Linked DNA regions of Saccharomyces cerevisiae S288C. Changing the gene in region 1 together with any one later gene gives a genetic interaction. Each region holds a gene or a part of one and is shown in the gene's direction. Other genes may lie near its edges.

Evidence for each region. Genes that interact genetically often act in the same process or in processes that back each other up.
Region 2: of GIS3 (region 1) and GIS4, extra expression of one rescues a mutant of the other (dosage rescue), as found in Saccharomyces cerevisiae (one study listed by BioGRID).
Region 3: mutations in GIS3 (region 1) and ENV9 together harm fitness more than expected from each alone (negative genetic interaction), as found in Saccharomyces cerevisiae (2 studies listed by BioGRID).

What each region holds. Positions count from the first base shown.
Region 1 is NC_001144.5:327,203-331,180, reverse strand, and holds GIS3 (Gis3p), read left to right. Parts: upstream 1-1,942; coding exon 1,943-3,451; downstream 3,452-3,978. Other genes in the region: IOC2 (Ioc2p), read left to right, coding at 1-1,504; NYV1 (Nyv1p), read left to right, coding at 3,766-3,781, 3,923-3,978.
Region 2 is NC_001145.3:255,523-260,385, reverse strand, and holds GIS4 (Gis4p), read left to right. Parts: upstream 1-1,969; coding exon 1,970-4,294; downstream 4,295-4,863. Other genes in the region: TRM12 (tRNA(Phe) (4-demethylwyosine(37)-C(7)) aminocarboxypropyltransferase), read right to left, coding at 1-165; DNA-binding transcription factor YAP1, read right to left, coding at 4,586-4,863.
Region 3 is NC_001147.6:795,232-798,568, reverse strand, and holds ENV9 (Env9p), read left to right. Parts: upstream 1-1,775; coding exon 1,776-2,768; downstream 2,769-3,337. Other genes in the region: SRL1 (Srl1p), read right to left, coding at 261-893; DGA1 (diacylglycerol O-acyltransferase), read left to right, coding at 3,237-3,337.

The sequences.
Region 1 (3,978 bases):
TGATGTGATTACAACTAATTGGGGGTCCATGCTAGAATACTGGTCAGAGAATAAAAGTTCGAAAGCCATAGATGAGTTCATAACTAACTTAATACCGGTGTATGCCGAACATAGACTATATTCGGCAAAACTTTTGGCCAACAGAGAAAAGGAGAGAGCAATTGCGGAGCTAATGACAAGGAGGAAAAGATCTTCGAGACTGGTAGCGAAAGAGGAAGAAAACAAGAAAAAAGACTTGGAAAGTGAGTGGTTTGAAAAACTAGATGAAAGAGAACAATTTATAAGGCACAGAAACAAGCTAGTGTCGAAGGAAATCAAAAAGATAAAAGATCTTCTTTGGAACCAATTGTGGCAATTGTACGATCAAGATTATAGAGATGAAAAATTGACCAGGCGTAACGAGCTCAAAGATAGAAGTGGTTCTGGTACACCGTTTTTTGAAACGTCTTTGGGCAGGGAGGAGGACAATCCCTTAAATGAAATCGATATCGGAGTTCTTGATCACGGCCCTAACTTTCAATCTAGTATAATCCCGGTGGAACCACCAATTCCTGGAACTGTTGGGCCACTACAGACGGGAGACGTCCCTGAATTGCCTAGTGACTTCTGCATAACAAAGGAAGAGCTAGATGAGCTTGCCAACTACGGGATCTTTACTCCGCAGCAAGAGCCCGACAACCAAGATTCTGTTTTCCAATGTCCGGGCGAACCAGAGCTGGCGCCCATGATTATCACCGAAGACACGGAGACTGACCTCTTCAATAACCGCCCATTGATATGCTGTGATCATTGTTACAGGTGGCAGCATTGGGAATGCCAACCTCCAAAAATTATAGAGCTTATATCTTCAACCACAAAATCCCCACAGCACACGCTGTCGCAACGTGATTTTGGCGTCATCATAATGGGAAATTCGCACGGCAATAGAAGGTCTTCTCGCAGACCCCAATCCACACTTGAACCCAGCACCAAGTCTTCAAGACCTACTGATAAACGCAAACCGCTGTCTGAATGCTCCACTTTTATCTGCGCTTGGTGCATCAGGGACTTGGAACTTGAGCTGCGCAACATTTTTGTGCCTGAATTGAAAATAATAAGGGCCAAACAAAGAAAACAACAGGAAGACCGTGAAAGAAGAAAAAAAATGAAGGAAGAAAAGAAAAGGCTCGAAGAGCTTGCAAAGAAAAGGGAACTAACCGAGTCTGTCTCACCTCCAGTGTTTAATAATGCATTTGCAAACATGTCAAGTAGCACAACGCCTAGTATCGCCGCTTACGAAAAAACAAATCCAGCCATCAATCCAGCACCTAATGTAAATGCCGCTCACCCCATAATTACATACTCGCAGCAAACTGGCAGCAAAACTGTACCACAAGCACCACAGGCACCACAAACATCACAAGCATCAATCCAACCACAGCAGCAACAGCAACAGCAACAGCAACAGCAACCGCTGCACCCTAAAGAACAGAACTTTCACTTCCAGTTCCCACCAACCAACTAGCCTCATATAGAAATACACAGCAAAAGTATATAGTAAAATATATATCAACTGGTTCTTCATGAAACTTTCTTTTCCAGCCGCACATCCGTAGGGCTTCTGTCGCTTCATGTCGGGTAATAATGATGCTTAGGGCTTAGCGCCAAAATAATTAGGGTGTATGAGGCGGCTCCTGACTAGGGTCAGACGGCATTTTTTCGTCTTTTTTTATCCGGTTTTTCGTCAGTGGCCATCCTTAATGCGCGGCAAAGGTGCTGAAGGCGCCTTATTGTGTTAAAAAAGCCAATGAAATAAAAGTGGGATGGTGAGAACGCCAAACGAGTGAAACAGAGAATGGAAACTCGCTTCTTCACAAGTATTTGATGGCTAGTTTTCTCAATTACTTGTTTCTTTGGATAGACACGAACATACAGAACACTTTCAACAAGACATAATTATAGAATGCTGCTGGACGTGAACACAAATCACACACTAATGCACGATGCTCATGTGCATGAACATTGCCTCATCAAAAGCATACGTGATGATGGCGCATTGCACTCATGGAGCGACTCATCAAAGGTATTTTATCCCAAGTCATTTTACGCTACCGCTACTAATAAGAAGAATAACAAGTTAGCCAGCGCCAGCATGAACAAGACCGCCACAAGTAATAGGACGGTGAGCGATGAGATTTATTTCCACTCCACTAAGCCGCAGTTCGATGGTCAAGGAAGCGCTGAACGTACTAGAACACTAACCAAGAGGAATAGCTTCAAGAGGACTAGAATACTGAAGGCTCGAGACGATTCCGAACTGCTGAACGAAAATCGCTCATCTTTGATGACCCCGTCCTTAAGCTCGGTCATGTCGCAAGTTAGGAAAACAAATTCCGCCAAGACGTTATCGGGCGAATGCCCCATACATGAGGGCCACTTAACACAGAGCATAAAGAGGAAGTTCTCCGAGGAAGCTCAAAGCGACTGTTCTTCATTGAGCTCCTCTAAACTTCATCCCTTGACAGATGATATTGCTGACGCTGTCGATTTGCAGACCCCCGCGATTGGCGATGAGGTACTGGCTGAGCCGGTCGTGCCCAAAATGAAAATAATAAACATAAATGATCTCGATTTGTTCGACGACTGGGAGGTTAAGGATTTAGTCGATATCTTTCCTCCCGTATACGAACGGCGTCCGCGATCGTCCTCTGCCCTTTCACTGGTTTCTGCGTCGTCCGATGCCAAACTTCGTCCGACCTCTGTGGACTTCCAAATCATCGACAAGAAAGGCGGCAAGACTTCAAGAAGGAAGAGTAGGAGCAAATCGACTACAGAAAACATGATTTACGAAAATGACCTGGTAGAATTAGAACAATGGCCATCTGCATCACCATCGCCCGAGACCGACGGTTCGATTGCATCTAGCGAGCTCTTGCCCAATAAAAGAATAAGACAAAAAAGTTTGAATACCAATTTCCTAAAGTTATACTCTATTGAAACATCATGTAAAAGGAAGAGTATTTTACCCGAAGTCGAAGTAGATGACCATCTGTTGAAGCAGCTAACGTATTCCGAAATTCGGTCTTTGGAAATCAAAAAGGAGCCAAATGTCTCTACGAACGATATTAAGCTTGCCCTAATTACTAGGAAAAAATTATGGTCTGACATGGTCCATGAAACAAGAAATGATCTTTTTGGCGATTCTACCCCCTGGAATTTGCACTTTGTTGCAACGACAAGCAATACGGAACCTTCGCAAGGCCGTGAATCCGCAAGCGAACATGCAACGGCGGATTTGAAAAGTTCTTTGGTCCGCGTACACTCAGACGTCAAGCCATGGTTCAACAATGGCGGCACAATGCTCAAACCATGCGGAAAACTAAATTTAGGCAAAGTCACCAATAAGACTTCCGCACCTACGAGAGAGATTCAATATGTCGTAAAGGGCTGGTGTGACAGCAGGTTTCTCTGATAGACCCCCCACCTTTTCATCGCCTTCACCCCACCCATTTGCATTATCTAAAAATAGTAAACTATATATTCTACCACCACATTCATTATATATAATATTTAAAACAACGCATTACCACCAAGCGCCCGGGTAATATTCGCCTCAAACGATCGAAGAAAGAAAAAATGAGGTCACAATAATGATGAAAAAAAGCCCCTCTATGAATTTTCTAGCACTTGACTAAGTTGGAGCAACAGCTATTAAATTTGAAGAACAGAGTGAAAAGCGACAATTTATTAAGCTGTTAGAGCATTGGACTTTTATATTTTTACCAAATGAAACGCTTTAATGGTATGTATAAATATTTCTACACAATTAACAAATGTTTAAAAAAGGGATTATGCGAATGCTCATCCCCCCATGCCATAATTTTACTATGTTACATTCAGTAGACTAACGTTCCATTTTGCTTGATTTTGCATATGGTCTTAGTAAGTTATGTGGAAGTTATAAAAAATGGTGAAACAATATCTAGTTGTTTCCAGCCG
Region 2 (4,863 bases), on another chromosome or scaffold:
CAATGGATGATTGAGATCCTCAATAGAAGATTTTATAACTTTGTTATCATTATCGGAATAGATAGGAGTAACAAAAAGGCCGTTGGTTTCCAGTTTAACTTTTATGGTTTTCAACAGTCTTTTATCACTAACTAAAAATTCTACAGGCATGGTTTCGTCACTCATTCACGCTAACGTTGTCTACAAATTATTTGAGTAATATTGTAAAATCCTCCAGCTCCACCTCATCACCTGAAAAATCTGGAAAAAAAAAGTGCGAAGACATCAAGCAGCAAGATACTTCTCATAATGAAACCAAATAGAGTGCCTATATTAACAACATTTTCTTCATGTAAACAATATTGGCCGCGCTGATGACGAACGACATTCAAATGTCTAAAACGGCTAAACTTAGTGAATACATTTACAAATTCATTTCTGTTTCGGAGGGGTGACAGAATGACTATAAATTCCATGCTTAAGACTTATCGCCGATATAAGTAAATATTGAAATGAAAATTAATCACCATCGACCGACTAGAGTTCGCATAAGTATATTATCGTGTACGGTGTAAGAATATAAATAAATGACGAACGGTCGTCAAACTTAATGGGAGCTGAAACACAAGGATCCGAATTATGATAGGGTAGTGAATGGCGACACATAAGCGAATAAAGAGAGATCATAATGCTACTGTGTAGAAATATTGATCACTTCTCGTGGGTTCGTAAATCCTCGGGGAAAAACTACAGTATACTTTGTATTCGCAAAAATATTACCGTTCCAAATAATAGTATGCCAACGATTATCAGCAAGTTCATCTCATTCACAGTACCCAGAAATACGAAATGAACAACTTTACACAACGATGATTCCTTTTCTCATAATACTTTCATTCGATTCATCCTTATATATTACTCACACACATCAGTTGCTCCAAAATCTAATAACACTGTGATCCCTGTTCTACTACTCTACTTTAATTAATTCCATCTTTTAACAACCTATACTATGGAATATAATTGATAACGATTTTAATTTTTTGAACGAGTAGCCGATAGACCAATATTACCTGCTGTTAGAATCAAATATGAATATAGACAATGTAATTATGTAACCAGAAGGAATCACAAGAAAACAGAATACACAAATAATCAAGTTAGTATGGCAACTTGGCCGAGTGGTTAAGGCGAAAGATTAGAAATCTTTTGGGCTTTGCCCGCGCAGGTTCGAGTCCTGCAGTTGTCGTTATTTTTTGCCTCTTGATGGATTTTTAAGTTTTGCGCTCATGCTTGTTATGATAATAGGAGAGCGAAATGCGGTAATTTTGTTTACGTCCATAATCATTTTTTCGTTTTGAGATTATTTCGGATCGGCAAATGCATTTTTTTAGCTCTGGAAATGTTGTTTTCACTTTTTCGCTTGCTTATGTGCATCCTAGGACTTTAGTTCACACCATCGATTATTTCTGTTAGGTTACACAGCATCTTTTACGTAAATGGCATGTGGCGATTCGCCAACTGGTTTCTCCTCATCGTTCCTAGCGCGGGGCTGACGGCCTTCCTCTGTGTTTTCAGGTAGTATCATCGCTATCGCACTCCACCAGCTACGAAGCCGGTGCAGGCAGAAACATTACTTGCATAGTAATACACGAAATTTATTTACTTTAAACCTTTATATCGAATTTATATCCCTAAACATTGAATTCTTCTCTTTTTTTTTCTTTTTTTAATTAGTTTTTTTCCTATTGTAGTTTTTTCCATCGCAAGCTAGATAAATATCTTCAACTTATTCACTTTGGCAGGACCAGATTTAACTGACTTGTGTAGCTAAGGAACGTGAAGGCTGAACAACAGCGGGAACTAAGTGCAGAATATATCGGCAGAAGTTTTGCAGAAATAACCCCTCATTAACACTCACTCTCATCCTTCAACTGCTCGAAAGACGGTTAACAAAAACCATCAAAAAGCACTCTGTTACTTAAATATAATGCAAAAATCCGTTAGAGTGGGCGACTATTTTGACAATGATGACAATGGTTTGTGGTCGTGGTACTTAACAAACCTCAGATTAGGCGATTTTGAAGAACTTATAGGCAATCAATTAAAATACACTCTGTTAAAAAGATTTCTGAATAGTCATTTTTATGGTGATAACAATATTTCGGCCAGGCCAAACAAGAAGATTTTGTTAGTTTCCATCCCAGAGAATGTTCATGAAGATATCTCCATATTGGAAATCTTCCTCAAAGATTACTTTCATCTGGAAAAATTAGAACACATTCAAATCTCAAAATTAACTCACTCCCACTGCTACAATCATGAAAATCATTACCTATTGACGGACAACCTCAACAATTTCCAAGACCCTACCTTTTTAGAATTTGCGAGTACAAGTTGGCAAGTTCAAAAAAATTCCAAGGCTTTAAACAATAACAATAGAAATTCAATACCACCACCCACAATATCTTCATCAAAAGCTTCAAACGGGAAGCTAGAATCAAACGTTTCGGATGATCAGTGGTCAAATATAAATACCCAGACTTCAACAGCTACCCGAACTAATACGAATACGAGGACTTTGACATCTCCGGACACAGTTGATATAAACGTTACATCCGTGAATAGTCAAAGCAATAATAATGATACGCCTCAAGATAATGAAAACGAAGTTGATGAAGAGGATGCCACAAGTTCTATAGTCCTAAATTTTTCTCATTCGCGAACAGTAGATTCAAAGCCTAATAGACTACCCAAAATTTTTCCATCATACACTAATGAAGACTATACACCGTCACATTCCGAGATAATGTCAATAGATAGTTTTGCTGGCGAAGACGTATCATCCACATATCCCGGACAAGACCTGAGTTTAACTACTGCCAGGCGCGAGGATGAAAGTGGTCAGGATGAAGTTGAGGATCATTATAGCAGAGTCTCACATGATCTAGGTGACGAGAGTATCGATCAAGCAAGTTATAGCATGGAAAGTTCGGTCAGCTACACTAGCTATAGTAGTAGCAGTAATAGTAGTAGTGCCCACTACAGTTTAAGCAGTAGCAGCCGAGGTAATCCAAAACGTGAAAACATCGATCACACGAATGCCACCTATGTCTCTGAATTGTCAAGTATAACGAGTTCTATAGACAATTTAACTACTTCGACAACCCCAGAGGAGGAGGATAATTTAATTCATCATAACTATGACGCCCAAGGGTATGGATCAGGAGAGGACGATGGAGAAGAGGTTTATGATGATGAAGATCTTTCTTCTTCCGATTACTCAGTACTATCCATTCTACCGTCAATCTCAATTTGTGATTCTCTAGGGTATTTTAGGCTAGTTTTGCAATCTATATTAATTCAGGATCCAGACACCAAAGAAATTTTTACTGCGATTAGACAGTCAAACAATAAACCTACAATGGCAAGCGTTACCGATGATTGGTTGCTGTATGATTCCAATTTTTCAATGAATAATTTACAAATTCTAACACTTCAAGATTTGCTAGATATCAAGAGATCATTTCCAAAAATTTTATTTTACACAATGGTTATTGTGACAAACTCCGGCAAACAGGTTGAAGAAGAATTCAAAAATCCCAATTATGATAATAGGGAAGGAATATCAAAAGAGCAACCTCTAGATTCTGAGTTATCATTAACTAACGACCCGCAACAATATTTCCCGACTGCATATAATAACGGTTACAACGACTATATTGACGATGAAGACGATGAAGACGATGGTGACGATGCTTCTTTATCAGAACAGTCAGGCCCACAAATGTACATACCAACTAGAATGGAATCTAACGTTACTACAGCACATCGTTCTATTAGAACCGTAAACAGTATCGGGGAATGGGCATTCAATAGACATAATTCTGTTACAAAAATCGATAAAAGTAATAGTAACGAGTTGGATAACTCTAAAACAGGTGAAAGTACAGTTTTATCAAGTGAACCTCATCCAATGACACAACTGTCGAACTCTAATACGACTTCCTCGAATTTTAGCCATTCTTTGAAGACAAAAAATTCTCACAAACCTAATTCCAAGGGTAACAATGAAAGTAATTCCAAAAATGAGTTGAAAAAGATAAAGAGTTCCATCAATGCTATGAGTGCCGTGGAAAGGTCCAAAAGTTTGCCTTTACCTACATTACTAAAGTCTTTAAGCGGCATAGATAACCCTACTCATGCCACTAACAAGGATAGAAAGCGTTGGAAATTCCAGATGAATAGGTTTAAGAATCATAAAAACAGTGGTTCTGCAGGTACGGATAAATCTCAGCGTTGTGCCATCATGTAAAGAATACTTTACCACTATATATAGATATATATATATACTTGTATTATAATTATAATCATTATTGGTACTATTGCACTTACCAGTTTCTATATTGACATTGAAGGTGATACAGAGAATTCATACATAGTCTAAATATATTTAAAGTATAGGTTGTGTACATAAAAAAATACCGAGGTGATACAATCTACCTACTTTCGGCGAAAAGGCGAAGCAAGGTAAGTTAAAAAAGTTTAATTGTAACATTATAGAAAAAGTTCTTTCGGTTACCCAGTTTTCCATAAAGTTCCCGCTTTAGTTCATATGCTTATTCAAAGCTAATTGAACGTCTTCTGCATTGATGACAACCCCTCTTTCTGAACATTTTGCCTTTGCCATTAGCTCGGAACATAAACCATCGACATCAATATCTGAGTATTTCGGATGTGTTGTTATTCTATCCCAAATTTCCGAACACCTTAGTAAAGAGCCTTCCTTAGATGGAACGACATCATTATCATTATCGTTATCATTGCCATTATTGATTTTGTCAGCATTCTGTAAACTACTGCCATTTTTTTGTGAGATTTCGC
Region 3 (3,337 bases), on another chromosome or scaffold:
TGATTTATAGCTGCACTTAGAAAATAAAGCAAATTAGGTGAAGTGTCTTTTTATTTTATTTTTTTTTTTCTATTAACAAACAAATGTCCATGTATATATATATAAACGAGAGAAAAATGATAGTGAAAAATAAATACCAGTTGGAACTTAAACTGATGTATTTAGGTAGCAGAAGGATAGAGTTACAGAAGGTGAAATTGTCAATACAGATACAAAAAAGAAACAAAAAGAACTTAAAAGGACACGTTTGAACTCATAATTCACCAACTGGTCGAATTAGTAATCGAAGTGGTGTTGTACCATTGTACGTTACCTGGAGAGGTAGTGGTAACAGAAGGTGCACCGGTGACAGTAACGTATTGTGTAGTCGTATTTGGGGTGACTGTAACGTACTGGGTAACGGGCTCATTGGTGACAGTGACAAACTTTGTGATTGGGACGCAACCATTGGAAGTTGAAGCCTGTTCAAAGGACTTGACCTTTGCATCTTTGTTGTTTGAATCTTCGTCACTGACACTTGCTGCAGTAGATGATGGAGACAAAGTAGTGGAGTCATGAAGGGTTAGCAGCAAAGTGGACGTGATAGTCGAGGTGGAGGTAATTTCATGGGTGGATTCTGGGGTTACAGATCCAGAGGCCGAAGAGGTGGACAAGGAGGAGGAGGCCGCATTGGTAATGGTGGCTGAAGTTGAGGTGAACCAGCTCGTGGAGTAGACCGTTGAGGTGACAAAAAAGGTAGTGGTGTCGTCGGCGTACGATATGGTAGTCTCTTGGGGCACCAAGGAGTAGCTGGGCGCTAAAGTGGTAGTTGTAGAAACAGTATTGTTTGAATAAATCGCTGACACAGAACTTGCGAAGGTTAAAAGAGCGAAAAAGACAACGGATTGAAGCATTTTTTTATTTTTGGTTGATAAAGAACGACTAAGGTGAGAGTGAAAGTGATGTGATTTTTAATTATGTAGTGTAATTGAAACAATAAAAAAAAAACAAGGGAATGGACGAGACCTATTAATGGGTACTATGGCTCAAATAGCAAAAAAAATTTGTAAAATGGGTAAAAAAATGAGAGAAATACGCGAGAAACCTCTTGGTTGGATGTTGTGCTAAACTAGTTGCTTAAACGCTTGCAAAACTTTTTTATAGATAAAATATGCCAAGTGAAAAGAAAAGGAAGCAGAAGAGAAAAACTTAGAAAGGTAGAGGTAAGAAAGAATAAACCAAAATGTAAGCTAGGTGAGGGAAATATTTTGGAGCTTAAATATCTCGAACGACACTCACTCTCGTCAGAAAAATCTGTCGAGTAACTCAGACCACCTCCGATAGCATACCTTGTTTAGTTTCATAATCGGCAGAGACGTCATTCCTGCACAGAACGCCAAAATTCGTGGCCCCCGCGGTACCTGAATCAGGGCCAAGAATTTTGGCGTTTCGTGTTGTTGACATATTCCGAAAAAGGTATTGAGCCACAGGTCTTTCGCGTCTTCTAAGCCCCAAGATAAAGAAAATGCCGCCCTGCTTAATCACTGTTTTTTTTTGGAAAACCCTGAAGTATAGAAGTAGGGCATTGAAAGAAAAGATATGCGGGTAAGATATGAAAAAATTGAGGAAATGAGACCCAAGTGTACATGGGTATATATAAACAAATCATTATGGTGCATGATGCATCACTTACAATGCACACACACTATTGTCTTTGTAGAAACGGGGAAGACAATGGTTGTAGGCCTGATTGGTATTAGAGGCATCCGCAGTACGAGACATACGCCAAAGGCAGAATGTTAGACCCACGAATATTGCCATACTACGACCCGGCTGTGGAGAGGAAGATTGCTGTAGTAACAGGCGGAAATACGGGTATTGGGTGGTATACTGTCTTGCATTTGTATTTGCATGGGTTTGTCGTTTATATTTGTGGGAGAAACTCTCACAAGATTTCGAAAGCAATCCAGGAGATACTGGCAGAAGCAAAGAAGAGGTGCCATGAAGATGACGACGGTTCAAGCCCAGGCGCGGGCCCAGGTCCAAGCATTCAGCGTCTAGGGTCACTGCACTATATCCATTTGGATTTGACAGACTTAAAATGTGTGGAGAGAGCGGCACTTAAAATTCTCAAGCTGGAAGACCACATAGACGTGCTTGTTAACAATGCAGGGATTATGGCGGTGCCCTTAGAAATGACGAAGGACGGATTTGAAGTGCAATTGCAGACTAACTACATTTCGCACTTCATCTTCACGATGAGATTATTGCCTTTACTGCGCCATTGTCGTGGCAGGATCATTTCCCTGTCCTCGATAGGCCATCATCTAGAGTTCATGTACTGGAAACTGAGCAAGACGTGGGATTACAAACCTAATATGCTTTTCACATGGTTTAGGTACGCGATGAGTAAAACCGCGCTAATCCAATGCACGAAGATGTTGGCCATCAAATACCCTGACGTTCTTTGTCTCTCCGTTCATCCGGGTCTGGTGATGAACACAAACTTATTCAGTTATTGGACAAGGTTACCCATCGTCGGTATTTTCTTTTGGCTGTTGTTCCAGGTCGTAGGGTTCTTTTTCGGCGTATCGAACGAACAAGGTTCACTAGCTTCTTTGAAGTGTGCATTGGACCCGAATTTATCTGTCGAAAAAGATAACGGGAAGTACTTCACCACGGGGGGTAAAGAATCTAAATCGAGCTACGTTTCTAACAATGTCGACGAAGCGGCATCGACTTGGATCTGGACCGTTCATCAACTAAGAGACCGTGGTTTCGATATATAACAAGACGGAAAGATTGAAAGAGTAGATAGATGTACATTTTATTTAAATATTAGTTAGTCGTTATTGTAACTGGTAATCAGAGCAAGAAGTTTTTCTGTACTTTGTTCTCTGCAGGCAACTAAGTTACGGGCCGACAAAGGCTTATGATGTGCGTTTTTTATTCAATTGATAGATTCAGTCAGCATTGACGTAATGGGAAGGCTAGAAAAAGAGAAGACTGAATTTGGAAACTTATTCCTCAAAGCAGACCAGTACTTCCACCGCATTTCTGTACTTAACCAAGCACGACAGTGGTCTATCAGGCTTGGATCTTTCACTACACTTCCGCCAAAGTTTTTTTTTTTTCCTGTTTATCCCAGATCACGTTTGTTCCATTAAGGAGGTTTACTATCATCTCATTTCCATTTACACATACACTTACATATACATAAGGAAACGCAGAGGCATACAGTTTGAACAGTCACATAAATGTCAGGAACATTCAATGATATAAGAAGAAGGAAGAAGGAAGAAGGAAGCCCTACAGCCGGTATTACCGAAAGGCATGAGAATAAGTCTTTGTCAAGCAT